4 linked regions of the Macaca fascicularis genome follow. The main gene of each other region encodes a partner of the protein of the gene in region 2 in a complex. Links are inferred from orthologs where the notes say so. Each region holds a gene or a part of one and is shown on either strand. Other genes may lie near its edges.

Region 1 (6,020 bases), on a different chromosome or scaffold from region 2:
GTCAGGCATAAAGGTAATATAAAGTAAAGTAAAAATAGTAACATATGTTTCTTTTTCTTTTTTTTTTTTTTTTGAGATGGAGTCTCATACTGTCGCCCAGGCTGGAGTGCAGTGGCAGGACCTCTGCTCACTACAAGCTTCGCCTCCTGGGTTCACACCATTCTCCTGCCTCAGCTTCTCCAGTAGCTGGGACTACAGGCGCCCACCACCACGCCCAGCTAATTTTTGTTGTATTTTTTAGTAGAGACAGGGTTTCACTCTGTTGGCCAGGTTGGTCTCAAACTGTATCAGGTGATCCGCCCGCCTCGGCCTCCCAAAGTGCCGGGATTACATGTGTGAGCCAGCGCGCCCAGCCAACATATGTTTCAATATATAAACACTCGAGCACTAGGGGGTATAATGAAGATTTCAGATGCTTGTACCTATATGTAGAATTACTTTGAATGCAGACTGATTTGAGTGAGTATTGTCGACCTAAAAGGAAGAAGCTGAGGCAAAATTAATATAAATAGAGAGTTTATTTGGGCCAGACTTGAGGATTGCAACTCAGCAGCATAAAGTGGCCCGGAATACACTCTAAGATTAGCAGCAGGTACAAGTGGATTTTTAACGGAAAAGAATGAGGACGGGGAGTGGGCTGACACAAAGTTGTCCTTAAGGAATTCTCATTGGTTTACAAAAATAACATTATCAAGCTATAGGGTGTGGGATATAGTGTCTGGTGGGGCATAATTAGGCTAATTTATAACTAATACTTGTGGAATGGCAAGCAGTTTTAAGACATAAATACATAGCTCAAAAGGGGGCAAGTAGGATGTGATTGCCTCTCATTTTAATGCCTCTCAGGGCCTAATAATTTAACTCACTTTCCTCAAATCAAAGTTCTTTTTTCAGTATTCACTATTCAAATTATTACAAGTGATGTTGCTTTTGGTGACGTTATTTCTTGAAATGGTACACAACTCTTAATGAATTCCAAACAAAACAATACAATTACTATTCAATTTTGGGGCAATAACATTCCTAGAAAATTCAACGTACATTAAAAGTGTGGGAAAATGCTTTGTGTGTGTGTGTGTGTTTTTTTTTTTTTTTTTTTTTTTTTTTTTTTTTTTGAGACGGAGTCTCGCTCTGTAGCCCAGTCTGGAGTGCAGTGGCCGGATCTCAGCTCACTGCAAGCTCCGCCTCCCGGGTTCACGCCATTCTCCTGCCTCAGCCTCCCGAGTAGCTGGGACTACAGGCGCCCGCCACCTCGCCCGGCTAGTTTTTTGTATTTCTTAGTAGAGACGGGGTTTCACCGTGTTATCCAGGATGGTCTCGATCTCCTGACCTCGTGATCCACCCGTCTCGGCCTCCCAAAGTGCTGGGATTACAGGCTTGAGCCACCGCGCCCAGCCGCTTTGTGTTTATTAACAAAGATAGGTTCAAGCCTCACATAACTACTTTTCACTCACCGAATGTTCAGCAGGACATTCAGAAATCGTGTGTATTGCGGGATTTTCTTTATGTAGCATCATCTGTTACACTGTAGGACACATATTTTATATCCCTAGCTCTGGCCTTCCAATGCCTGTGGTTTTCCCAACCATTGTTCCGACCAAAAGCCTTCCCCAATGGACACGGTGGCTCACACTTGTAATCCCAGCACTTTGGGAGGCCGAGGGGGGCAGATCGCTTGAGATCAAGAGTTCCAGACCAGCCTGGGTGATGTGGCGAAACCCCATATCTACTAAAAATACAAAAATTAGCCGAGCATAGGTGGTGTGTGCCTGTAATCCCAGCTACTTGGAGGCTGAGGTGGGAGGATGGCTTGAGCCCAGCAGGTCTAAGCTGCAGTGAACCCGGATTGTGCCACTTCACTCCAGCCTGGGGGACAGTGAGGCTGCGTCTCAAAAAAAAAAAAAAAAAACCAAAAATGAGGCCGGGCATGGTGGTGCACGCCTGTAATCCCAGCTACTCGGGAGGCTGAGGCAGAAGAATCGCTTGAACCCGATAGGCGGACGTTGCAGTGGGCCGGGATTTCGCCACCGCACACTCCAGCCTGGGCGACAGAGTGAGACTTGGTCTCAAAAAAAAAAAAAAAAAAAAAAAACACACACACACAAAAACAAACCTTCACAAAATTTTAAATGCTTAGTTTTGGGACACCATCTCTTGGAAATTTGTGGTGAAGCACAGTATCCCCAGTAATTAACATAGTGCTTAGAAACAGTGGAACCACAACTCTTTAAAATGATTTAAAAGCATTTATGTCAGATAAAGGACCGCTGGCTAGCCCTCCTACGATCCATAGCTTCGCAGTCCCCAAACAGGAAGGCGTGATTCAATGCGCAGTAGCAAATTTAGGGTGACAACGAGATACATCCCACGGAGCCCGTGATTTCCTTTTCTTTGTTAGTTTTCAATTCCTTCAGTGTTACAGGGAGGAGCTCCGGCCTCCTCCGCTAAAGACTGTCGCATTTCCGCCGCTAGGCCGGAAAGCACCACCGTCCTTCCGCAGGCCTCAGTCAGCTAGGCCCAGCTCCAGCCCCGCCCGTCACCGGAAGTGAGGCGACGGAAGTAGCGTAACCCGCTGAGAACCAGCCGGCGGGGCGCTGTGGGTTGGCGGGCTAGTGGGATGGCAGATGAGGAAGAAGACCCCACCGTGAGTGACCGTCTGTGTCCAGAACCTCTCTTTTCTTCACTCCTTCGGGCTCAGTAGCGGAGGCAGAGTTCAGGATCGGATCTGCTTGCCTTAGTCAATTCAGCCGACAGAATTCGGGGACTTCACTCCCTAAGGATTGATCATTTTAGAAAGTGGGGAAGGACATGAAGAAAGAGTAGGTTTTGTGACCCCTTTCCCCTTGATTTTGATCTTTATTTGCCAGACACTGAAACACTTACAGAATCATCAGACGTCAAAACTAACATCTATTAGCGCTCACTATGAACCAACAGTTCAATTGTTAACAAAACTGTACTTACTGTGAAGTAATGGGAAAAGAATGCATTGAAAGTCAGACAGCCTGGATTTCAAAATCTCCATTCTCTCTAAGCAAGTTATTTAACTTTGACAATCAGTTTTCTTGTTACAAAATAGGGTTACGGGCTTACTTAAGGAACGTTTTTAGCACCGTATATGCAAATGCTTAGTAAATATTAGTTTTGCTTAATTGAAAGTCTACAAAGGTAGACTTTGATTCAGTATCAACTGTTTAACAGTAGCAATAGGCCACCTTAGTTGTTTAAAAATAAAACCTATGGTCATTGTAACTCTTACACGTAGAAGCAGTAGGATTATTTGTTAGGAACATTGTAGAAGCCATTTTTGGATGAGTTGGAAATTGGACTCGATACCTAGGCTGCTTACGTGCTAAGGTTTTGTGTTTTTTTTTTTTTTTTTTTTTTTTTTTTCTGCTTCCTTTAGGCTTTCTGGCCTATCTGTTGAAAAGGAAAAAACATTGTTATTATTAAAATATCAAATGCAAGGCAATTATTTGACATTTCTATATATACGTTTTCTAGTTTGAGGAAGAAAATGAAGAAATTGGAGGAGGTGCAGAAGGTGGACAGGGTAAAAGAAAGAGGCTTTTTTCTAAAGAATGTAAGTAGTATTTGACAATGATTTTGTTATAGATGATGAAAACTTTTGGACATATCCTTTCCAAGTACATTTATTGCTTTGAATGTTTCCCTGTAGTGACAATATTCTCAGACTAGCCTATCAAATTCTGTTTAGCTTTTGAATCAGATAGTACCAATCCTAACCCCAGTTATATGTGTGTGTATGTGTGTCTGTGTATAAATTGCTTTTTAGGTGAGCAAATGTAGTTCGTGTTTTAATTTAGGGCAGAAGAACATACCTCCATTAGTTTTCCTCTTGCCTTTGCAGCAGTAGAAAGAGAGGCTTCTTTGACTGTAAGCCACAGATACTAATGGATCCTGCACCAGGTGTTGAGGGAGAGTAGCAAGTGAGTTGGGGCTTGGGCTTTGGACTAAGGCTATGAACAAAGTAAGAAGGTGGTGAACAGCTGGGTGTAGTGGCTCACGCCTGTAATCCGAGCACTTTGGGAGGCTGAGGCAGGTGGATCACTGGAGGTCAGGAGTTTGAGACCAGCCTGGCCAATGTGATGAAACCCCATCTCTACTAAAAATACAAAAATTAGCCAGACGTGCTCGCTTGAACTCAGGAGGGAGAAGTTGCAGTGAGCCAAGATTATGCCACTGCACTCCAGCCTGGGTAACACAGCAAGACTCTGTCTCAAAAAAAAAGAAGAAGGTGGTGAATAGTGTAAGACATTAGAGTGACATGGAGGCTAGATGCAGTGGCTCACGTCTGTAATCCCAGCACTTTGGGAGGTCAAGGCAAGCAGATCGCTTGAGCCCAGGAGGTCAAGACCAGTCTGGGCGACATAGTGAAACCCTCTCTCTACAAAAAATACAAAAATTAGTAGGGCATGGTGGCACGCCCCTGTAGTTCCAGCTACTCTGGAGGCTGAGGTGAGAGGATGGCTTGGGCCCAGGAGGTGGAGGTTGCAGTAAACCCAGATTGCGCCACTGCACTCCAGCCTTGGTGACGGAACCAGACCCTGTGTCCAAAATAAATAAATAAATAAGCAAAATAAATAATGACATGGAGATTATAATGTATTGATTCTGCATCCTACCCCCTCAGTAGATGCTTTTGACCCTTTTTGGCAACAAGAGGAAGGGAGAGCTGCTGCTACTACTGATGGTACAGGCCAAGCCCTGGAACACAGCATGAGAATGTGCTCTCCATCTCCAGTCCTGGGTCCTTTATGTAAAGTTATATCTAAGTATTGAGAGATGAGGCAACACAGATTTATGAATATGGTTTATTTAGGCGGGGTTATATGTGAGCAGTTCCCAAATGCCCTTGAAACTACAGGGTCAGTATATCTTTTTTTTTTTTTTGCAATTAACTGGGCATGGTGGCGTGTACCTATAGCCCCAGCTATTCAGGAGGCTGAGGTGGGAGGATCACTTGTGCCCAGGAGTTCAAGGTTGCAGTGAGCTGTGATCATGCCACTGTACTCTAGCCCCAGTGATAGAAGAGTGAGACCCTGTCTCGCCACCAGCCCCAGCTAATTTTTTGTATTTTTAGTAGAAACGGGTTTCCCCATGTCAGCCAGGGTGGTCTCAAACTCATGACCCAGATGATCTGCCTAACTCGGCCTCCCAAAGTGCTGGGATTACAGGCCTGAGCCACCATGACCAGCCATACCCAGCTAATTTTTGTATTTTCAGTAGAGACTAGTTACACCATGTTGGCCAGGCTGGTCTCAAACTCCTACCCTCAAGTGATCCTCCTGCCTCAGCCTCCCAAACTGCTGGGGTTACAGGCATGAGCCACCACATCCAGCCAGACACTCTTATTTTTTAACCATCCAAATCCTTTTCCATATTTCGTTTCCTCACTAAAGCTGAACATTTCTTATTTCATTTCTCTGATGCTCCTTATACCATTATGTGGTTTTACTTATTATATCAGCATAAGAATGGGATCCTTGTACCAGAGCATCCCAGAGTGATGTTCAGTTGGTTGTTAGCAAAGACCTTTTTTCCAGTGAGATTAGTTTGTGATGACAGGAATTTGGAATCTTCAGGCTTCTCCTTATCTTAACTGAATATTCATAGAGGTTACTGACGAAAGATCTGTTTCGTGAACCTTAAAAAAAAAAAAATTTGCAGGAGACTAGGTACAGTGGCTCATGCCAGTAATCCCAGCACTTTGGGAGGCCAAGGTGGGAGGATCACTTGAGGTCGGGAGTTCAAGACCAGTCTGGCCAACATGGCAAAACCCCGTCTCTAATAAAAATACAAATTTAGCTGGGTGTGGTGATGCGTGCCTGTAACTCCACTACTCGAGGGCCGGACACGGTAGCTCATGCCTGTAATCCCAGCACTTTGGGAGGCTGAGGTGGGTGGATCATGAGGTCAGGAGATCGAGACCATCCTGGCTAACACAGCAAAACCCCGTCCCTGCTAAAAATACAAAAAATTAGCTGGATGTGGTGGCA
Region 2 (5,519 bases):
TCCTGTCTTCCTCCATAAAAGAAAACCTGAATATCAGCTGGGCACATAGACACTTAGGTAAAGACTACATTTCTTATTTCCCCTGCAGCTAGGTGTGGCCACTGACTGTTAAGATATAAAAGGAAGAAGTGTGTGCAGTTTCCGTGTGCCCTAACTGCTGACTGGCACACTGATGTGACTGCTTAGAGCAGGAAAACCATCTTATGCCACAAAGTGGAACATGCATGAAAAGCATGGGAGAGCAACAAGACTGAGGGAGCTTGGGGCCCTGGTAATGAAGAACCCACCACACCAATCCCGAATGTCCCACCTTTATGAGAAAAATAAATAAACTTTTATTGTATTTAAACCTCTGTTGTTTGGGTTCTCAGTTACTCTTATTCTAATCTAATCCTAACACTGCTTCCTAGTGTTCTTAAGATAAAGGCAAAAATAAACTTTTATTTATGCCATTGCTGATGAGTTTTCAGTGACTCTCAATGAAACCTAATCCTACCCAATACAACTCCCTACTGCTCTTAGGATAAACAAAGATCTTCAATATGGCCCAAGAACCAGCCTATTCTTTTTTTTCAATGCCTTCACTTTAACAATAGAACCTGCCTACTGTTCCAGTCCCTAATTCCCAGCTTCATGGTATACCACACCCCCATCCCATTCTCTGCTCCAGCTACCCTGGCCATCTTTCAGCCTCTGTACCTACCAGAATCCTTCCCACCAGAGAGCTTTAATACATACTTTTCCCTCTTTTCTTCATCTGGCTAACTCCTACCTAATCTTCAGATATCAGATCTCACCTCAAGTATCATCTCCTCTGGAAGCCTTCTCTGACTTCTCCAGCTAGATTAAACCCCACATTTTAAGTTCTCATAGCCTTAGGTACCTCTCCTTCACAACGTACATTTTAAGTTGCAGTCTTACATTTGTGTGGTTACACATGTGAACATATATGCACGCGCACACACACTATGTGTGTATATATATATGTAAAAATGTACATACTTCTCAAAGAATGACTTTGCTTCATTCTCATGTTGATTGTAGACTAGCTCCAAGTACATGTGCACAAACAAAGGATAAAAGAGTTGGGATAACTCTGCCCGATGGCAGTCCAGGGAACATTCAATGAAGTGTTTCAGTCCACTATAGTATTCTTCATACATTGTGGGATCTCCTTGTTGGCTGTAGGCTGACAACACAGCACTGACATCTGGCTGGTCTTCCACAGCAACACTTCCAACTGTTTAAAAAACAAAAAACAACTTTTAAGAAAATGACCTATTATGACCATGTGACTATGGCTGTTTTGTTAAGGCCCAGAGGTGAGTTGTTGCTCAGATTGTTGTCTCTTTCTTCCCAACGTCTCTTCCTCAACACAATCACATAATCTTTTTTTTTTTTTTTTTCTGAGAGGGAGTCTCGCTCTGTCACCAGGATGGAGTGCAGTATGGAGATCTCAGCTCACTGCAACCTCCGCCTCGCAGGTGAGTCTCTTGCCTCAGCCTCCCAAGTAGCTGGAACTACAGGCATGCGCCATGCCCAGCTAATTTTTGCATTTTTAGTAGAGACAGGGTTTCACCATGTTTGCCAGGATGGTCTCGATCTCTTGACCTTGTGATCCTCCCACCTCGGCCTCCCAAAGTGCTGGAATTACAGGCATGAGGCACCGCACCTGGCCCACACAGTCTTTTTTTTTTTCTTTCTTTTTGAGATGGAGTTTCAACTCTTGTCGTCCAGGCTGTAATGCAATGGCACGATCTTGGCTCACTGCAACCTCCGCATCTCGGGTTCAAGCAATTCTCCTGCCTCAGCCTCCTGAGTAATCCTACCCAATACAACTCCCTACTGCTCTCAGGGTAAACAAAGATCTTCAACATGGCCCAAGAACCAGCCTATTCTTTTTTTTCAATGCCTTCACTTTAACAATAGAACCTGCCTACTGTTCCAGTCCCTAACTAATTTCCAGGGCATGGTGGTGCATGCCTGGGATTACGGGCATGCACCACTATGCCCCCTAATTTTTGTATTTTTAGTAGAGGGGGGGTTTCACCATGTTGGCCAGGCTGGTCTTGAACTCCTGACCAGAGGTGATCCACTCGCCTCCCAAAGTGCTGGGATTACAAGTATGAGCCGCCGGGCACAGTGGCTCCTGCCTGTAATCCCAGCATTTTGGGAGGCCGAGGCAGGCAGATCACGAGGTCAGGAGATCGAGGCCATCCCGGCTAACACGGTGAAACCCCATCTCTACTAAAAATACAAAAAATTAGCCGGGCATGGTAGTGGGTGCCTGTAGTCCCAGCTACTCGGGAGGCTGAGGCAGGCGAGTGGCGTGAACCCGGGAGGCGGAGGTTGCAGTGAGCCAAGATCACGCCACTGCACGCCAGCCTGGGCAACAGAGCGAGACTCCGAGACTCCATCTCAAAAAAAAAAAAAAACCAAGTATGAGCCACCGCGCCCAGCCATAATCTTTTAATAGAATTTTTTTCACTTGTTTCAGTCACCCAAACCGAAACCTGTCAGCACATCCATATCTTAAGATAACAATAACAGGCCATCACGGTGGCCCAGCATTTTGTGAGACTGAGGCAGGCGGATCACAAGCTCAGAAGTTCAAGACCAGCCTGGCCAACATGGTGAAACCCTATCTCTACTAAAAATACAAAAATTAGCTGGGTGTGATGGCGCGTGCCTGTAATCCCAGCTACTCGGGAGGCTAAGGCACGAGAATCACTTGAACCCAGGAGGCAGAGGTTGCAGTGAGCCAAGATCGCGCCACTGCACTCCAGCCTGGTGACAGAGCAAGACTCCGTCTCAAAAACAAAAAAAACAATAACAAGAAGAGTCAATATTCCTCCTGGAACTACCTTATGTTAAAGACAAATTGTATAAAAGATGGTATGTGCAAATCAAACAACTACATTAACTTTCTCTCAACGCTCTGTTCAAATGGCACCCATTACCACCAAGCCATGCACTGCAGTAACATTCCCAGTTCTCTGAGCCACCCAAGCACTGTGTAACATTCCTGTAACATATCCTATCCTGTGTTCCCTTCACATTATATACATCTCTTACCCCTTATAAAATGTAACCACTTAAGGGTGGGAAGGACCATGCCCTATTTATATCTTCAAAAGATAGTTATATGCGGCCGGGCACGGTGGCTCAAGCCTGTAATCCCAGCACTTTGGGAGGCCGAGACGGGCGGATCACGAGGTCAGGAGATCGAGACCATCCTGGCTGACACAGTGAAACCCCGTCTCTACTAAAAAATACAAAAAAACTAGCCGGGCGAGGTGGCGGGCGCCTGTAGTCCCAGCTACTTGGGAGGCTGAGGCAGGAGAATGGCGTGAACCCGGGAGGCGGAGCTTGCAGTGAGCCAAGATCACGCCACTGCACTCCAGCCTGGGCGGCAGAGCGAGACTCTGTCTCAAAAAAAAAAAAAAAAAAAAAAGATAGTTATATGCTTAAAACAATTTCCATAACCAGCATTTCAAAACAGAAAACATAACTATTTATTTGTAACACAGCACCACCTAACAATACATCTGTCAAATCAGAATTTGGTTGTTGGAAATATTTGTAAGTTGCCATTATAGTACACTTCGCTCTTTACTGCACAAATGTGATAATTTCTTCGGTTACTCTGATGGCCTCTTTTCCTCCTTACTGATTTCTCAGTTATGATCTATAATTAGGTCAAGTTTCTGAAGAGATAGGAGATTACAGCAAAATAACCAACAATATAATTCATCTTATAGTTCATTCACAAAATTCAACATTAAAAAAAGATTCCTCTCAAACACTTTTTTTTTTTTTTTTTTGTAAAGACGGAATTTTGCTCTGTTGCCCAGGCCGGAGCGCAATGGCGCTATCTTGGCTCACTGCAACTTCTGCCTCCTGGGTTAAAGTGGTTCGCCTGCCTCAGCCTCCCGAGCAGCTGGGACAACAGCACATGCCACCACGCCCAGCTAATTTTTTTGTATTTTTAGTAGAGACGGGGTTTCACCATGTTGGCCAGGCTGGTCTTGAACTCCTGACCTCAAGTGATCCACCTGCCTTGGCCTCCCAAAGTGCTGGGACTACAGGCGTGAGCCACCGCGCCCGGCCTTCAATCCACATCTGCACACATTTCTATTTATGGATTACAATGTGATATGAATACAATGCTATGTATTCATACTTCATTTCTGGCAATGCTGCAAAGATTAGGCCTCATACAGATTAATTTGGCTAAAAGCTCTGCACTGGATAATTCAATAAACATTTATTGTCAGCTCAGGATCACCTCTGAGACCTTATATTGTATATGAGTTTTACTGCATGGATTTGTGGCAACAGTTGCTGTGAGAAAGCAGTGGCTCAGGTGTCAGGAACACATACAGAGGCATAAACTTATCCATACCAAACATTTTACATATACATATTACAAGTGCCTCACGTGGCCGGGCGCGCTGGCTCACGCCTGTAATCCCAACACTTTGGGAGGCCAAGGCAGGTGGATCACGAGGTCAGGAGATCAAGACCATCCAGGCTAACATAGTGAAACCCCGTCTCTACCAAAAAGACAAAAAAAAATTAGCCAGGTGTGGTGACATGCGCCTGTGGTCCCAGCTACTTGGGAGGCTGAGGCAGGAGAATCGCTTGAACCTGGGAGGCAGAGGTTGCAGTGAGCCAAGATTGTGCCACTGCACTCCAGCCTGGCCGACAGAGCGAGACTGTGTCTAAAAAAAAAAAAACCCTCGGCCGGGCGCGGTGGCTCAAGCCTGTAATCCCAGCACTTTGGGTGGCCGAGACGGGCGGATCACGAGGTCAGGAGATCGAGATCATCCTGGCTAACACGGTGAAACCCTGTCTCTACTAAAAAATAGAAAAAACTAGCCGGGCGAGGTGGCGGGCGCCTGTAGTCCCAGCTACTGGGGAGGCTGTGGCAGGAGAATGGCGTAGACCCGGGAGGTGGAGCTTGCAGTGAGCTGAGATCCGGCCACTGCACTCCAGCCTGGGCGACAGAGCGAGACTCCGTCTCAAAAAAAAAAAAAAAAAAAAAAACCCTCATAACCACTCATGTAATAAAGGGAGAAAATTCAACATGAGAATGACTTGTCTCTTGACAATATTAATGTAAAAAAAAAATTTTTTTTTTTTTAAGACAGAGTCTTGCTCTATCACCCAGGCTGAAGTGCAGTGGCGCAATCTTGGCTCACTGCAACCTCGGCCTCCCGGGTTCAAGCAATTCTCCTGCCTCAGCCTCCCAAGTAGCTGGGATTACAGGCATGCACCATCACATCTGGCTAATTTTTGTATTTTTAGTAGAAAGGGGGTTTCACCATGTTGGCCAGGCTGGTCTCAAACTCCTGACCTCAGGTGATCCACCCGCTTCATCCTCCCAAAGTGCTGAGATTACAGGCATGAGCCACCACGCCCGGCCAATAGGAAGGTAAAAAAAAATTAAAAGGTAAGAAAAGAATGACAATCAGCATCACACATGTAAATGCAGCAAAGACGAAAAGGTCTGTCCA
Region 3 (6,186 bases), on a different chromosome or scaffold from region 2:
GACATTTGTTACAATTCCCTCTTTCCTCTTTTTATGCTGGGTGGGATTTTTCTTTCAAACTACACAAGTCCTACCTGCTTGTGCCAACAACTAAAATCATACAGTAACTAAAATTTGGCCCGAGGTCCCCAGGGTGACCCCCCACCACATGAACACTAGGAGGGGCGTCCTCACACCCCCGCCACACCCCAGCTCCTCCTCACACCCCCGCCACACCCCAGCTCCTCACACTAGGAGGGGTGTCCTCACACCCCCGCCATACCCCAGCTCCTCACACTAGGAGGGGTGTCCTCACACCCCCGCCATACCCCAGCTCCTCACACTAGGAGGGGTGTCCTCACACCCCCGCCATACCCCAGCTCCTCACACTAGGAGGGGTGTCCTCACACCCCCGCCATACCCCAGCTCCTCACACTAGGAGGGGTGTCCTCACACCCCCGCCATACCCCAGCTCCTCCTCCTCGGGGAGGCAGTGCTCCTGCAAACCCCAGACATAGAGCTGCCTGGCTGTCTGCAGCTCCCACCCTCCCCAGGGTCTTCTGGTGCACAAGACCCTCCTTGCAAGGGAAGCTGGGATAGGTGGGCACAGACCCTAAACTCCTCACAGTTTCTGCAGTTGCCAGGCTGGACGGTTCCTCAGAAGATCCTGCGGATAATGTCAACCAAGGCGTGTGTGCAGGAGGCTGAGCCCAGCCTACAGAGAGCCCCGAATATGTTGGAATGAAGGGCTCCTGGCGGGGCCTTGGAGAAGAGAAGCCACCACTGTGTGTAGATGGCAGGAGACTCATTACAGATCTCAGTGGAGTAGCAGCGGACTTGAAGAGTGGAGGCCTGAGCGTGGGAACCTTCAGTTACCCCAGCCTTTGGGACCCAGGGGCCTTGGAACTTGGTCTGTTTCATGCGAGTCCGGCGTTCTGCTTCTGCTCCCACTCCAGTGTGAGGGGTCTGAGGGTATGGGCTGTGCTGTGAGCCTGGTGCGCCCCACCTTGCAAGTTGTGCATGAGGCCGGTCAGCCTGCCTGTGGTTTGACCTACTTTAAAAATGTTCTAATTAGTTGTCAACACTTAAAAATTAAAAATCTCGAGATTTAATCATCACTTTATATCTCTGCTCTTTCTGGAAAACTCAGACTGTCCCCCTACTGAGCTCAAGGTGCCCCATATGTGCACCCATAGGGGCCCTCCCTGCCGTACCCAGCTGGCTTCATTCATTTCCTTTCCTGCCTTCTGGGAGCCAAAGTTCAGGTACAAAATTCCAGCTGTACGTTTGCAGTGATTTCCCCCGAACACTGTTTCCCTAGAGGGGAGGCACCTCTCCTAGGCTCCGTCCTCAATGCTCATTGGCTGCTGCTGCTGTCGAGAAACAAGCCTGGGGTGAAGTCCCGTATTCCAGCTGTCTCAGTCAGTCCATTCCCTTGCGAGGCTGCAATTCGAACAGGCACAAGGGTCCAGTTCGGGTCTGCTGTTGAGACTAGCAGTCTCCTTTGCTACAACAATTAAAAAAATCATTTTCTATGTCAGCAACGTCATTCATCGTCCCGAGGTCTCTGCTTATTGCGGCGCTGTCTTCAGCTGCGAAGACTGATCCTGCGGCCTCTTGTCCCCAGTGAGGTCCGAGGCAAGGAAGCGTCTCTCTGAAACCTATTCTGGGCTCTTAGAAAGAAATGGGAGAAAGGAAAACCACTAGAAATGTCCAATAACACCATCTTTTGGTTGGAAAATAAAACACGCAGAAAGAGAGAACTGGAACTTTTACTGAAGTATTTCTAGAGAGAAGGTGCTTGGGAACATTTTAGGTAACTTACTCCCCTCCCCCAGCAGAACGTAAAAAGAAAGCTACTTCCAGATTTGCCAGCTCGGGAACTTCGTTTGGCGCCTGGCAGGCACCGTGCTCTTACCTACGGGCTTATAATGACACTCCCGTCTCCAAGGCAGCTAGGTGCGGGTACAGTCACCCCGGGGCGGCTTAGTTTATTGATTAAAAATGGAGGGAAGGGCCAGGGGTGGTCACGATTGGAGGGCGAGAAGAGCCGTGCGCGCAGGACCCCTCCCCACCGCCCGGGACCGGCTACCCAGGGGCGGACCCAGCTTCCTTCCCCGCGGCGGCTTGGAGGGGCCGGGCGCCGGTCCCCGTCCTCAGGGCGCGCTGCGAGAGCCCCGTCCCCGTCCCCGCCTGCTTCTCGGGCCCATCCACTCCGGGGCCTGCGCGCTGCCCGGCCGGCGCCCCGGCATCCCCGCGCGCTGCTCCCCGGGCCTCGGACGGGCCCTGCACCTCCGCTGCTACCGCACAGGGCGGCCCGCCCGGCGTTCCCGTCAGCGCCGCCGCAGCCATTTTGGAGCGAGCGGAGACAAAGAGCGAAGCCCCGTCGCCGCCCCGCGCTCGCCTCGGCCCGGCCCGGCGCACCGTCCCCGCATCCCGCGCCCCGCCCGGCGGCCACCGCCCCGCCCTGCCCGCCACCGCCCCGGCTCCCGCGTCCCCGAGCACCAGCCCCCGCGCTTCCCGCCGCTGCTACCGCGCCCAGGCCGACCGCCCGCGCCCCGGCCTCTAGCGCTCGCAGCCATTGGCCGCGCCTTTTAAGCGCGCACCGCAGCCAATCGCCGGGCGCCCGCGGTCTCCGCGCCTGCGCAGGAGCGCCACCCCGCGCCCCCGCCCCCCGGCCGCGCGCCCCCGCCCCCCGCCGGCCGCGCGCCGCCCCCCGCCCGCCCAGCGCCCGCCCCACTCGGAACCTCCTCCTCGCCCAGGCGCGCTCGGCCCGAGCGGCGGCGGCGGCGGCGGCCGAGGAAAAAAGATGGCGGCGGGCTCGGATCTGCTGGACGAGGTCTTCTTCAACAGCGAGGTGGACGAGAAAGTGGTGAGCGACCTGGTGGGCTCGCTCGAGTCGCAGCTGGCGGCCAGCGCGGCCCACCACCACCACCTCGCGCCGCGCACGCCCGAGGTGCGGGCCGCGGCCGCCGGCGCGCTCGGGAACCATGTTGTGAGCGGCAGCCCGGCCGGAGCCGCGGGCGCAGGGCCGGCCGCCCCCGCCGAGGGCGCGCCCGGAGCGGCGCCGGAGCCGCCCCCCGCAGGTAGAGCGCGGCCGGGGGGCGGGGGGCCGCGGCGCCCGGGCCCCCCCTCACCGCGCCGCCCCCTTGTCCCCGCAGGGCCCGCGCCGCCTGCCGCGAAGCTGAGGCCGCCGCCCGAGGGCAGCGCGGGGGCCTGCGCCCCGGTGCCCGCCGCCGCCGCCGTCGCCGCGGGGCCCGAGCCCGCCCCCGCCGGCCCCGCCAAGCCCGCCGGCCCCACCGCGCTGGCCGCCCGCGCCGGCCCCGGCCCCGGCCCCGGGCCCGGGCCCGGCCCCGGCCCTGGCCCTGGCAAGCCCGCCGGCCCCGGCGCCGCGCAAACTTTGAATGGGAGCGCCGCGCTGCTGAACTCGCACCACGCCGCCGCACCTGCTGTCAGCCTGGTCAACAACGGGCCCGCCGCGCTGCTGCCGCTGCCCAAGCCCGCCGCCCCCGGCACTGTCATCCAGACGCCCCCCTTCGTGGGCGCCGCCGCGCCCCCCGCGCCCGCCGCGCCCTCGCCCCCCGCCGCCCCCGCGCCCGCCGCCCCCGCCGCCGCCCCGCCCCCGCCACCCCCCGCGCCCGCCACCCTGGCGCGGCCGCCCGGCCACCCTGCCGGACCCCCGACCGCCGCGCCCGCTGCGCCGCCCCCTGCCGCAGCCCAGAACGGGGGCAGCGCCGGGGCAGCCCCCGCCCCCGCCCCGGCCGCCGGGGGCCCCGCGGGGGTCAGCGGCCAGCCCGGGCCTGGCGCGGCGGCTGCAGCGCCAGCGCCGGGGGTCAAGGCCGAGTCGCCCAAGACGGTGGTGCAGGCGGCGCCCCCGGCGGCGCAGACCCTGGCGGCCAGCGGCCCGGCCAGCACGGCTGCCAGCATGGTCATCGGGCCAACTATGCAAGGGGCGCTGCCCAGCCCCGCCGCCGTCCCACCGCCCGCCCCCGGGACCCCCACCGGGCTGCCCAAAGGCGCGGCCGGCGCAGTGACCCAGAGCCTGCCCCGGACGCCCACGGCCACCACCAGCGGGATCCGGGCCACCCTGACGCCCACCGTGCTGGCCCCCCGCCTGCCGCAGCCGCCTCAGAACCCGACCAACATCCAGAACTTCCAGCTGCCCCCAGGTGAGTGGCCGCACGGGGCGGGAGGGAAGGGCGGGTCCCAGCAGCGCCAGCTGCCAGTTCCAGGAAGTTCTCCGCTGGTGGAATGCTAAGGTCATCTGTCCCGTAGGCCCGTGGCTGGAGCAGGCCGAGGGGCAGCCTCTACCCAGGTGCGGGGCCAGCCCGGGTGGCTGCCTGCGAGTGAGCCAGAGGGAGTCGGCATAGTCTGCGTCCCTGTCGCTGTTCCAGACGTCCGCGGTGGCTGCCTGTGGCTGGGGCTGGTCTGTTTCGGAGTGGCTCAGCCAGGACTCCTACTGGAGCGGTCCTTACCTGCTCCCGCCCTGTGTGCCCCTGCCCCGGTTGGAAGGCTCAGCGCAGGGGCTCCCTGGGCCAGGCGATGGGGTCTGCAGAGCTGAGGGCAGAACCTGGAGGTGCGAGTGGCAGCAACTGTCCCCTGCTCAGTTCTGCAGTTAGGCGTGTGGCCTGTGTCCCCACTTAGCCTTTCTACCCCTTTGTGACCCTGGGCTTGAGCCTCCCCAGTCTCCAGGCGAGGACGGGGGCACGACACCCCCTCCTCGAGGCTCGGGAAGTCGGGATGGAAGGCTTGGGCTTCCCTGTTGGCCACCAGGAAGGCAGAGATGTCGGGCGCACCCTGCGAGAGTCCTCCAGGCGCGCAGCCTTGCTGAGAGCCATGCTCTGGAGTAGGGTTTCAGCACCGTGTGTGTCACCGTCTCTTCCAGCGCTGCGTTGGTGCCTAAAGGAAAGAGCGCCCAGCTAGTCTGGTTGCTGCCCCCTCGGGAGGGCAGTGGGAGGGCGGTGGCAGCAGATGCTCTCACTCCGTGCAGGGGTCTCGGGGTAATACTGGCTGTGCTGCGGATGCCTTGGGCTCAGACGCCCCTTCTGCCTGGCAGTACTCACGCTCTTGGTCTAGTCTGCTGTCTCTGCGACTCTTCAGGGCCCCTCAAGTTTGACGGGAAAGATTGCCTGACCAGCATTGCACGCTAGGCTGCTTTTGTCTGGGGCTCCCCATCCCTCCCCAGCCGCCTTGGTGGGTGCTGGGCAGGGGAGCTCCTCCCCGGCCTGTGGTGACGCGCGCCATGCAGTTGTAGCAGCTCGGTGGCAGCAGTAGTAGGAACTTCGAGGAGAGCGTGGGTCTTTTCTGTGTCCCCTCTCTGAAGGGAGCTATTGGTCACTTTGAGAGGTTTGCAGCATCTTCAGAAGTGAAAGGTTTTCCTGTCCGAGTATGTGAAGTTCAGGGCTGGTGGTCAGACTGGACAGGGCGGGGGTAGGGAGAGTCTGTCTGGGAGACCGCTAGGCTGCAGTGCTCCAGGGAGGAAGAGGGCTGAGAAGCCACTTCTCCGGGGTTGCTGAGACGCCCGTTGTGACAAGCTGTTGGAGTACTGAAGCATTTGTAGGGATGTTTCGCCAAAGTCTTGGTTTTGCTCCTATGTGTATATTGACCTTTTAGTAGAAAATGTGGCTGAACTTTAGTAATGTTGTAAAAAGGTGTTTGATGGCCGTGATCTGTTATGTAAACTATCGCAATGCTTTATTTATAAAAATGTTTTTCCAGCGGTCCCGCATGTCTCAGCGCAGGCCAGGTGCCTGTTGCACCACTTTGGATAGGTATTGGACTCCGCCTTGAGGGGCTGGCCAGGTTGTCTTGCTCTGAGCCTCTGCATAGGTAAAGCCTCATCTCTTTCTTCTGGGAGGAGGTGGAGGAACACATAGTTGGAAAAGGGCATTTCTGCTGTATTTATCATGAGTGATTCTGGGACTCACTTCCATCTTCTGTTTTAAGGTCAGTTTTAGGGTCAGGTGTGTTTGATGAGGTGACAACTTGAAAAACAACTGTAGGAGTGTTGACTGTGCGTGATTCCCGTGTGTGAGGACAGAGGAACAGCTCACACAGACGTTTGGGTGGCAGTGCTGAGAATGGTACTTTCAAGGAGCTGAATGCTACTGTCTAAAAAATGAAAGATTTATCGCATTTCTTCATGATCCCCTGCAGTTGATCTACTGATGAGGAATTTTGATTGTTGTTTATTTCACTAGTAGCCAA
Region 4 (6,124 bases), on a different chromosome or scaffold from region 2:
TCCCTTTCATTGAAAAAAGGACGATGAGGAAACACCAACTTCTCTCCTGTTTATTTCTCCTGTTTCCTAGATATATGTATTGCCCCCTAAGCTCGTGCTAGTCACATATAAAACAATTTACAATTAATCTAAGGGGATTAGTGAGCTTCTAACTGAAATAATGTCTCGGGACTACACAGTTTAATACATCCAAATAATTTAATAATTAGCTTAATGCACAGGGTTTTTGTGTACCTTGCCCATTCACTGAACTTTTAAACCCTCCTACATACGAAAGAGGAAATGGACTCCTTAGTATTAAGTCATTGAAATTATGGAATTGCTCAGACTTGAGACTTTCCACAGTTTTTCATGAGAAGTCAGTTACATTAAATCACGCTTTGTTTGCTTTTCTGGACCTATTTTTGCTCAATCCCAAATAAAACTCCTAACCCAGTTTTGGGCTCAGCACTGATTTGGAAGCTAAAACGTTTTGAGATAAATACAAAATATAGTCCCGTCCCAAAGGACACAGGCCTTTTTAAGAATAGCAACAAAGGTAAATAAAGCAGGACAGCATGTCCTGAGGATGAAGTGTTTTGCAGACTCTTCTCATCGATCTGGTCAAGAGGGGAGAAAGGCTTTGGCCTCCCTGATCTTTTGCCTCACGCCTCTGCAGGACAAAGTGAGCCCAGCGTGGTGGCGCTTCAGGGATTCCAGGCGCTGGTGGAGCAGTTGGGTCTTGTCCACTTTTTCTTCCAAGTCCCGAAGAAGTGAGTCGTTGCCTAGAAGCCCGCACTTCTGATTCAGCCTGATGTTGTCTGTCCGCAGCCCCTCTCGGGCTTGCTTCGTCTTGGTCAGGATGTCTCTTCCTTGGGCGACCTGGGCCTCGATTTCTGCCAGCTGTGTCTTTTTGCACGCGTTCTCCGTGTCCATGAAGTGCAGCTTTTCCTTCATGTGGGTTATTACTTGCACACTGTTGGTCACCTTGTTGCGAAGTTTTAAAAGTTCCTCATTTCGTTCCTCAATTTTCTCATTGAAGGTCTGGTTCTCAATCTTCAGCTGTTCAAAGTCAATAAGAAGCAGACCCTGGGTCAGGTCCTCCTGGGTCCTCATCCTGGTTTCAAAATGCACCAGGCTCTGCTTCAGCTGCACGTTCTCCAGCCGCACGGCGCTCATCTCCTTCTCCTTTTTATCCTCCAACGCCAGGATCTGCTCCACCTCTCGCAGAGCAGCCTGGCGCCCGCCCCTCATCCGACAGCTGCCCATGGCCTGCATCACCACCTGCTTCTTGAGTGCCTGGAAGCGCCGCCACTCCTTCTCCACTCTTGAGAGCTTCTCCTGGCACTGCTGCTTCAACTGGCCCAGCTCCTGGTGGTACCACTGCAGGTCGTCTGCCTGCTGCTTCTTCAGGTCCTCCAGCATGCCCAGATGGCGCAGGTACGCTTGCTCTTTCTCGGGGGCCTCTGCTTGTGCGCCCCGGTCAGGCACCTCCGCCGCCTCCAGGCCCTTCTTTTTGCGCAGCGCCTCGAAGATCTTGTGCTGCAGGTACAGGTTGTAGCGCTGGGAGCGGTTCCGCTCCATCAGCAGGGAACGGTACTGGTCCAGGAGGTCGCTGCGCAGCTGCTGCTCCTGTAGCTTCTGGACCTCCTCGGACCACTCCAGGTCCTCAAACTCGTCCCTTCCACCGAGGGGCTTCCCCTCTTCCTGGCTTTTGGCCGGGCGTCCTTCCCCAGCCCTCCCCTCGCTCTCCGCGCTGTCTCTCCGTGTCTCCTCCTCGTCCTCCTCCTCCCCCTCCACCCGCTCTGTCTCGGCCTCCGGGGCTGCAGCAGCCTCTTCCTCGCCGATCCTGGTCAGCGGCAGAGAGGCCTGGGACCGGACTTCCTTGCCCTCCGCCGCCTGCTCCAGCTCCTCCGCCCTCGCCTCCGCATCTAGTTCCTCGGGCCCGGCTCCGGACTTCGGCTGGACGGGCTCCTCAGCCCCGGCCTCGGCCGGCTCTTCGGGTTCGGGCTGGGGCTTGGCCGGCCTCCCCGGCTCTCCAGGCCCCTCCTCGCCCGCAGCCTCGGCTGCCGTTAGCTCTTTCGGGGCCTTGGCCTGCTCGTCCGCGGCTGTGCCTCCCTGCGAAGCCTCCTCTTCCTCCTCCTCCTCCTCCTCCTCCTCCTCTGGCTCCGACTCCAGCTCCCCGGGTTCGGGAGGGGTCGGAGGGCCGGAGCTGGCCTTGATCTTGGACGGCCGCGCGGCCAGGCTTTCCCCGTCTCCGCCTTCCCCGCCGGGGTCCTTAGTGTGCTCAGACCCGCCCTCCATCTCCGCCCGGCTCTGCCAGCGCAGCGGACCCCGGCAGCATGCTGTTAGGTTTCCCGGGGCAACCGAGGGCGCGCGCGCTGGGCCCGGCGATTGGCCAGGCGACAGGCCGTCGTCCAGCCTCTTCTCCCCGGAGAGCAAGCCAATGGGAGGCCGCGAGCTGGCGATAGGCGAGATTGATTGGAAGCGGCCGTGGGCTCTCGCCGCGAGGGGCGTGGCGTCCCCGCCGGGCTTTCTGCCTGCCCATTTCCCACCGCTGGGCCTGGGGCGGGGCGTTCAGGAGGCTCTGGGAAAGGCGGCGGCGGCCGGCGCGGGGTGCGCGCAGGCGCAGAGCGGTGGGCCGGGCGTCCGCAAGGTGGCGCCCGCGGGGCGCCTGCGCGATGCGGCGGGGCGACAGCGGCCGCGGTGGCGGCTGCCGGGCCGGGCCGGACGGCGCCTGCGTACTGAGGCGGGACGCGGCCCGGCTGGCTGGCTCCGGCGGCTGCTGGGCTGGGGCCGCGGTGGCGGCAGCCGCGGCGACGGGCGGCGGTTGCTTGTGCGCGGCGGCGGCGGCGGGTCCCGCGGGTGGCGGGGCGCTGACGGCCGGGGGCGCGGCGGCTGCGGCGGGCCGGGCGGCGGGCGGCGAGCAGGGGAAGATGGCGGAGCTGGGGAAGAAGTACTGCGTGTACTGCCTGGCCGAGGTGAGCCCGCTGCGCTTCCGCTGCACCGAGTGCCAGGACATCGAGCTGTGCCCCGAGTGCTTTTCGGCCGGCGCCGAGATCGGCCACCACCGCCGCTACCACGGCTACCAGCTGGTGGACGGCGGGCGCTTCACGCTCTGGGGGCCCGAGGCCGAGGGCGGCTGGACCAGTCGCGAGGAGCAGCTGCTGCTGGACGCCATCGAGCAGTTCGGCTTCGGAAACTGGGTGAGCAGCGCGACAGGGGCCGGGTCCCGGCTAGGGCACAGGAAGGCCCGCGCCTCTCCTGTATCGGGCGCGCAGGCAGCACTGGACCTGCTCGCTCCGCTCGGCACCCCGGAAGGCCCCGGAGGTGGGGAGGGCGACGCTGCCGGTTTATAGTCGGGCACCTGTCGGAACCTATGCTCAGAGAGGCTGTGACGCGCCCAAGGTCACAAAGCCGAGACGGGGCCAAGTGGGGCTTTGAACGCTGGTTTCTGACAGCAGAGCCATTTCCCTCACCTTCAGGGACACCTTCACAGGCGTTTGCGGAGTGCAGACGTTGGGCGAGACGCGGTGCCTTACCTGAGTTCGTGGAGTCAGGCAGGCCCACAGACTCGACAGAAAGCGGTGGGAGCACCAGGGAGGGAGAACGGTGGGCGCCCTGCGGCTTGTCTCGGGGTCTCTGGGGCGGCCCCGTTTGCTTTCTGTCATTGTATGCATGTGCCCTGTGTGGTGTGCCAGTGCACAGATTCTTTGTGGGTAGCGTGCCTGGTTAATGCTTGGGTCTCCACAACCCACGACATTGTGCGAGTGGTCAGTAAAGAATGAACAAAGAGGCCTGGCCTGGGAGGCCTGGGGCTTGGGTTTTGCTCTCTTTACGTTTGAGGTTTTTGTAGAGACAGCTCTGTGTGGGGAGCGGTGAGAGCTGGACTGGATCCACTTACGCTAGCAACATCGTGTGCTAGGTTCTGTCCTTGAGAGAGGAACATGGTTGTTCTCTCTGGGCGGTTTCTCAGCTCTCCTTTCATTCTGGAAGCTTGCATCCGTGTTAGAAAGGAGAAAATCTCTAGCCGTATTCCCACTCATAACCACCAAAGGCATGTGGCCATCCCCAGGCACCCTGAGAAGGAGGGGAGTGAGACACCCCAGCGCCCTTAGCTTTGCAGAGTCTTCCCCTGCTACACCAGGTGCCTGCTTCTCGGAACAGCGTCCATCTGCTGCCACGTCTCCAGCAGTCCTGCCTGGGCTGCTTTGATTGCCTTTTGCTTTCCTTTCCTGAAAGAGTCTCAGGACCGCCTCATATACCCATTCTGAAGCCCTGGAATCTTGATTCTCCTCCCAGCTCCTTAGAGAAGATGGTCCTTTACAAATCCTTACCTAATGGCCACCAGCATTGGGATCGCCATTTTTCAGAAACTCTGGCCCATCTTGTCCTTCCATGCTGTTTGTGGATATGCACTGAGCTTGTGTTCCGTGCAGATTCTACAGTGGCGGAGGACTCTGAAGGAAAGAGAAGCTTTTATCCCTCCATTCAGGGAGCTTAAAGTGTGGTACTGACTTGGTCCTGGGCCCAGAGCTCCTCCCTAGCAACAGCCATCCATGTCCAGCCACCTCCCTGTCCTATCTGCCTCTTAGTGTCCTCTTGACTTACTCCTTAGTTCCTTGTTCCACTAAGTTCCTGATCCAGTTTATCAGCTGTCTCCTCACAGTACATCCAGAACAAACTACTTCTTACAGCCGTAGTCCCGGCTGATGTTTACTTCTTGCCTTGACCACTTTGGGAGCCTCCTTGTTCGTTATTCCCCCTGCACCCTATTCCCCCATTCCACACACCATAACCAGAGCGAGCTTTGGAAGCACAGAGCGCCTCACACTGGCCTCAGTGGCTTTTACTTCAGTTAAGGCTGCCTTAGAAGTGTTGAGCAATGAGATCTCATCTGTTACCTCCCTTGATCATTTTATATTTCTTCTACCTAGAGTGCTCTCCCCCAAAATCATGGCCCAGGATCGATCTTTCCACTTACATATCAGTGCCTCAAAGGGCTCTTCCCTTCACCATCCCAGCAATTATCTCTATGTTAGCAGCTAAGGAGGCGCAGAGCCTTGCTGGCATATCTTCGCGTATCTCAGGACATTTTCCCGACAGCCCTTGGCAGTTGGCTTTGGATGGACCAGTTTGACTTCAGAGCCTGTACTCTTAACTACACTGTCTGCACTGCCTTCCCTGCGGCACTGTGGAACATACACAGAACACAATACCTGGGGAACAAAAACATTTATTTGGTTTTGGAAGAAACCAGGCTAGAAGTGGAGAGGCCTGTCTTCTAAAACAATACTTTCCGAACTAATGTGCACACAGACCACCTGGGGAGCTGGTGAAAATGCAGATTCTGACTCAGCTGTTAGAGGAGACAGAGCCAGGAGAGGAAGGGCATGGGGCTTGGGCTTGGGCTTGGTGCACAGGGGGCCTGGCCAGGCTGCGGTCAGGGCGTTCTCCCACGGCACCAGCGCCAGGCCACGGCGAGGCCTGAGAGCCTGCATTGCAGCCAGGGCGCAGGGGGTGCGCTGGCCCGTGACCCCCGCCCCCTCCCCCGGAGTGGTGAGGTACCAGTATTCAGTCATGCTGCCATCTCCCTGGCAGAGCCTCGTTGTGCTAACCCCTGGGACTTTATTTTTCTTCCTCTGAGGCTGTTCTGCAGCTCTGAGATGGGCGGTCTCTTCTGAGCATGTATCCAGCTATGTGCACAGAGCTGGCGTGTCCCACTGCCTCTGTCCGCTCTAGGCCAGGCTCTTCCCATACGTGTCTTGTGGGATCTTCCTAGCAGCCCTGGGGGTTGGGTTCTTATTCTTACAGTTGAAGAACAGCAGCTCTAAGAAACTAAGCGCCTTGTCAGGGATTCCATGGCATTCATGTGATAGAGCCACGAATGAATGCTGGCCTGTGTGATTCCAAAGCCTGGGCCCTAACCCATGGGTGAGAGCATTAGGCAATGTGGGTCACAGGCTGGGAGGCCGTCGGTGCCACCGCAGGAGTGGATGGAGTGGAAGGGCTTGACCTGATTCACTGGAGATTAGTGTGGGGGCAGGGCCTGGGCTCCTAGGCCGCCACTGTGAGTGTGGAAGGAGATGGTGTGGGGGCTGGGGACAGTGATGTAAAGAAAGTTGAGACTTGTTGAGTTCTACTT

Evidence for each region. The genes of interacting proteins can lie anywhere in the genome.
Region 1: TAF5 (region 2) and transcription initiation factor TFIID subunit 13 share a complex: the UniProt entries of both Homo sapiens proteins name them as parts of the TFIID basal transcription factor complex. The link is inferred for Macaca fascicularis from reciprocal best matches to the Homo sapiens genes TAF5 and TAF13.
Region 3: TAF5 (region 2) and TAF4 share a complex: the UniProt entries of both Homo sapiens proteins name them as parts of the TFIID basal transcription factor complex. The link is inferred for Macaca fascicularis from reciprocal best matches to the Homo sapiens genes TAF5 and TAF4.
Region 4: TAF5 (region 2) and TADA2B share a complex: the UniProt entries of both Homo sapiens proteins name them as parts of the TFTC-HAT complex. The link is inferred for Macaca fascicularis from reciprocal best matches to the Homo sapiens genes TAF5 and TADA2B.

The regions. Positions count from the first base shown.
Region 1 is NC_088375.1:125,371,224-125,377,243, forward strand, and holds the start of transcription initiation factor TFIID subunit 13, read left to right. Parts: upstream 1-2,555; 5' UTR 2,556-2,617; coding exon 2,618-2,644; exon of another isoform or gene 2,645-2,818; coding exon of another isoform or gene 2,819-2,819; intron 2,820-3,406; exon of another isoform or gene 3,407-3,504; coding exon 3,505-3,583; intron 3,584-6,020. UniProt on the Homo sapiens protein: The TFIID basal transcription factor complex plays a major role in the initiation of RNA polymerase II (Pol II)-dependent transcription.
Region 2 is NC_088383.1:112,410,846-112,416,364, reverse strand, and holds part of TAF5 (transcription initiation factor TFIID subunit 5), read right to left. Parts: intron 1,241-5,519; coding exon 1,003-1,240; intron 1-1,002. UniProt on the Homo sapiens protein: The TFIID basal transcription factor complex plays a major role in the initiation of RNA polymerase II (Pol II)-dependent transcription.
Region 3 is NC_088384.1:118,112,647-118,118,832, reverse strand, and holds the start of TAF4 (transcription initiation factor TFIID subunit 4), read left to right. Parts: upstream 1-2,721; 5' UTR 2,722-2,788; coding exon 2,789-4,148; intron 4,149-6,186. UniProt on the Homo sapiens protein: The TFIID basal transcription factor complex plays a major role in the initiation of RNA polymerase II (Pol II)-dependent transcription.
Region 4 is NC_088379.1:6,046,656-6,052,779, reverse strand, and holds the start of TADA2B (transcriptional adapter 2-beta), read left to right. Parts: upstream 1-2,659; 5' UTR 2,660-2,660; coding exon 2,661-3,185; intron 3,186-6,124. Other genes in the region: CFAP184 (cilia- and flagella-associated protein 184), read right to left, coding at 604-2,283. UniProt on the Homo sapiens protein: Coactivates PAX5-dependent transcription together with either SMARCA4 or GCN5L2.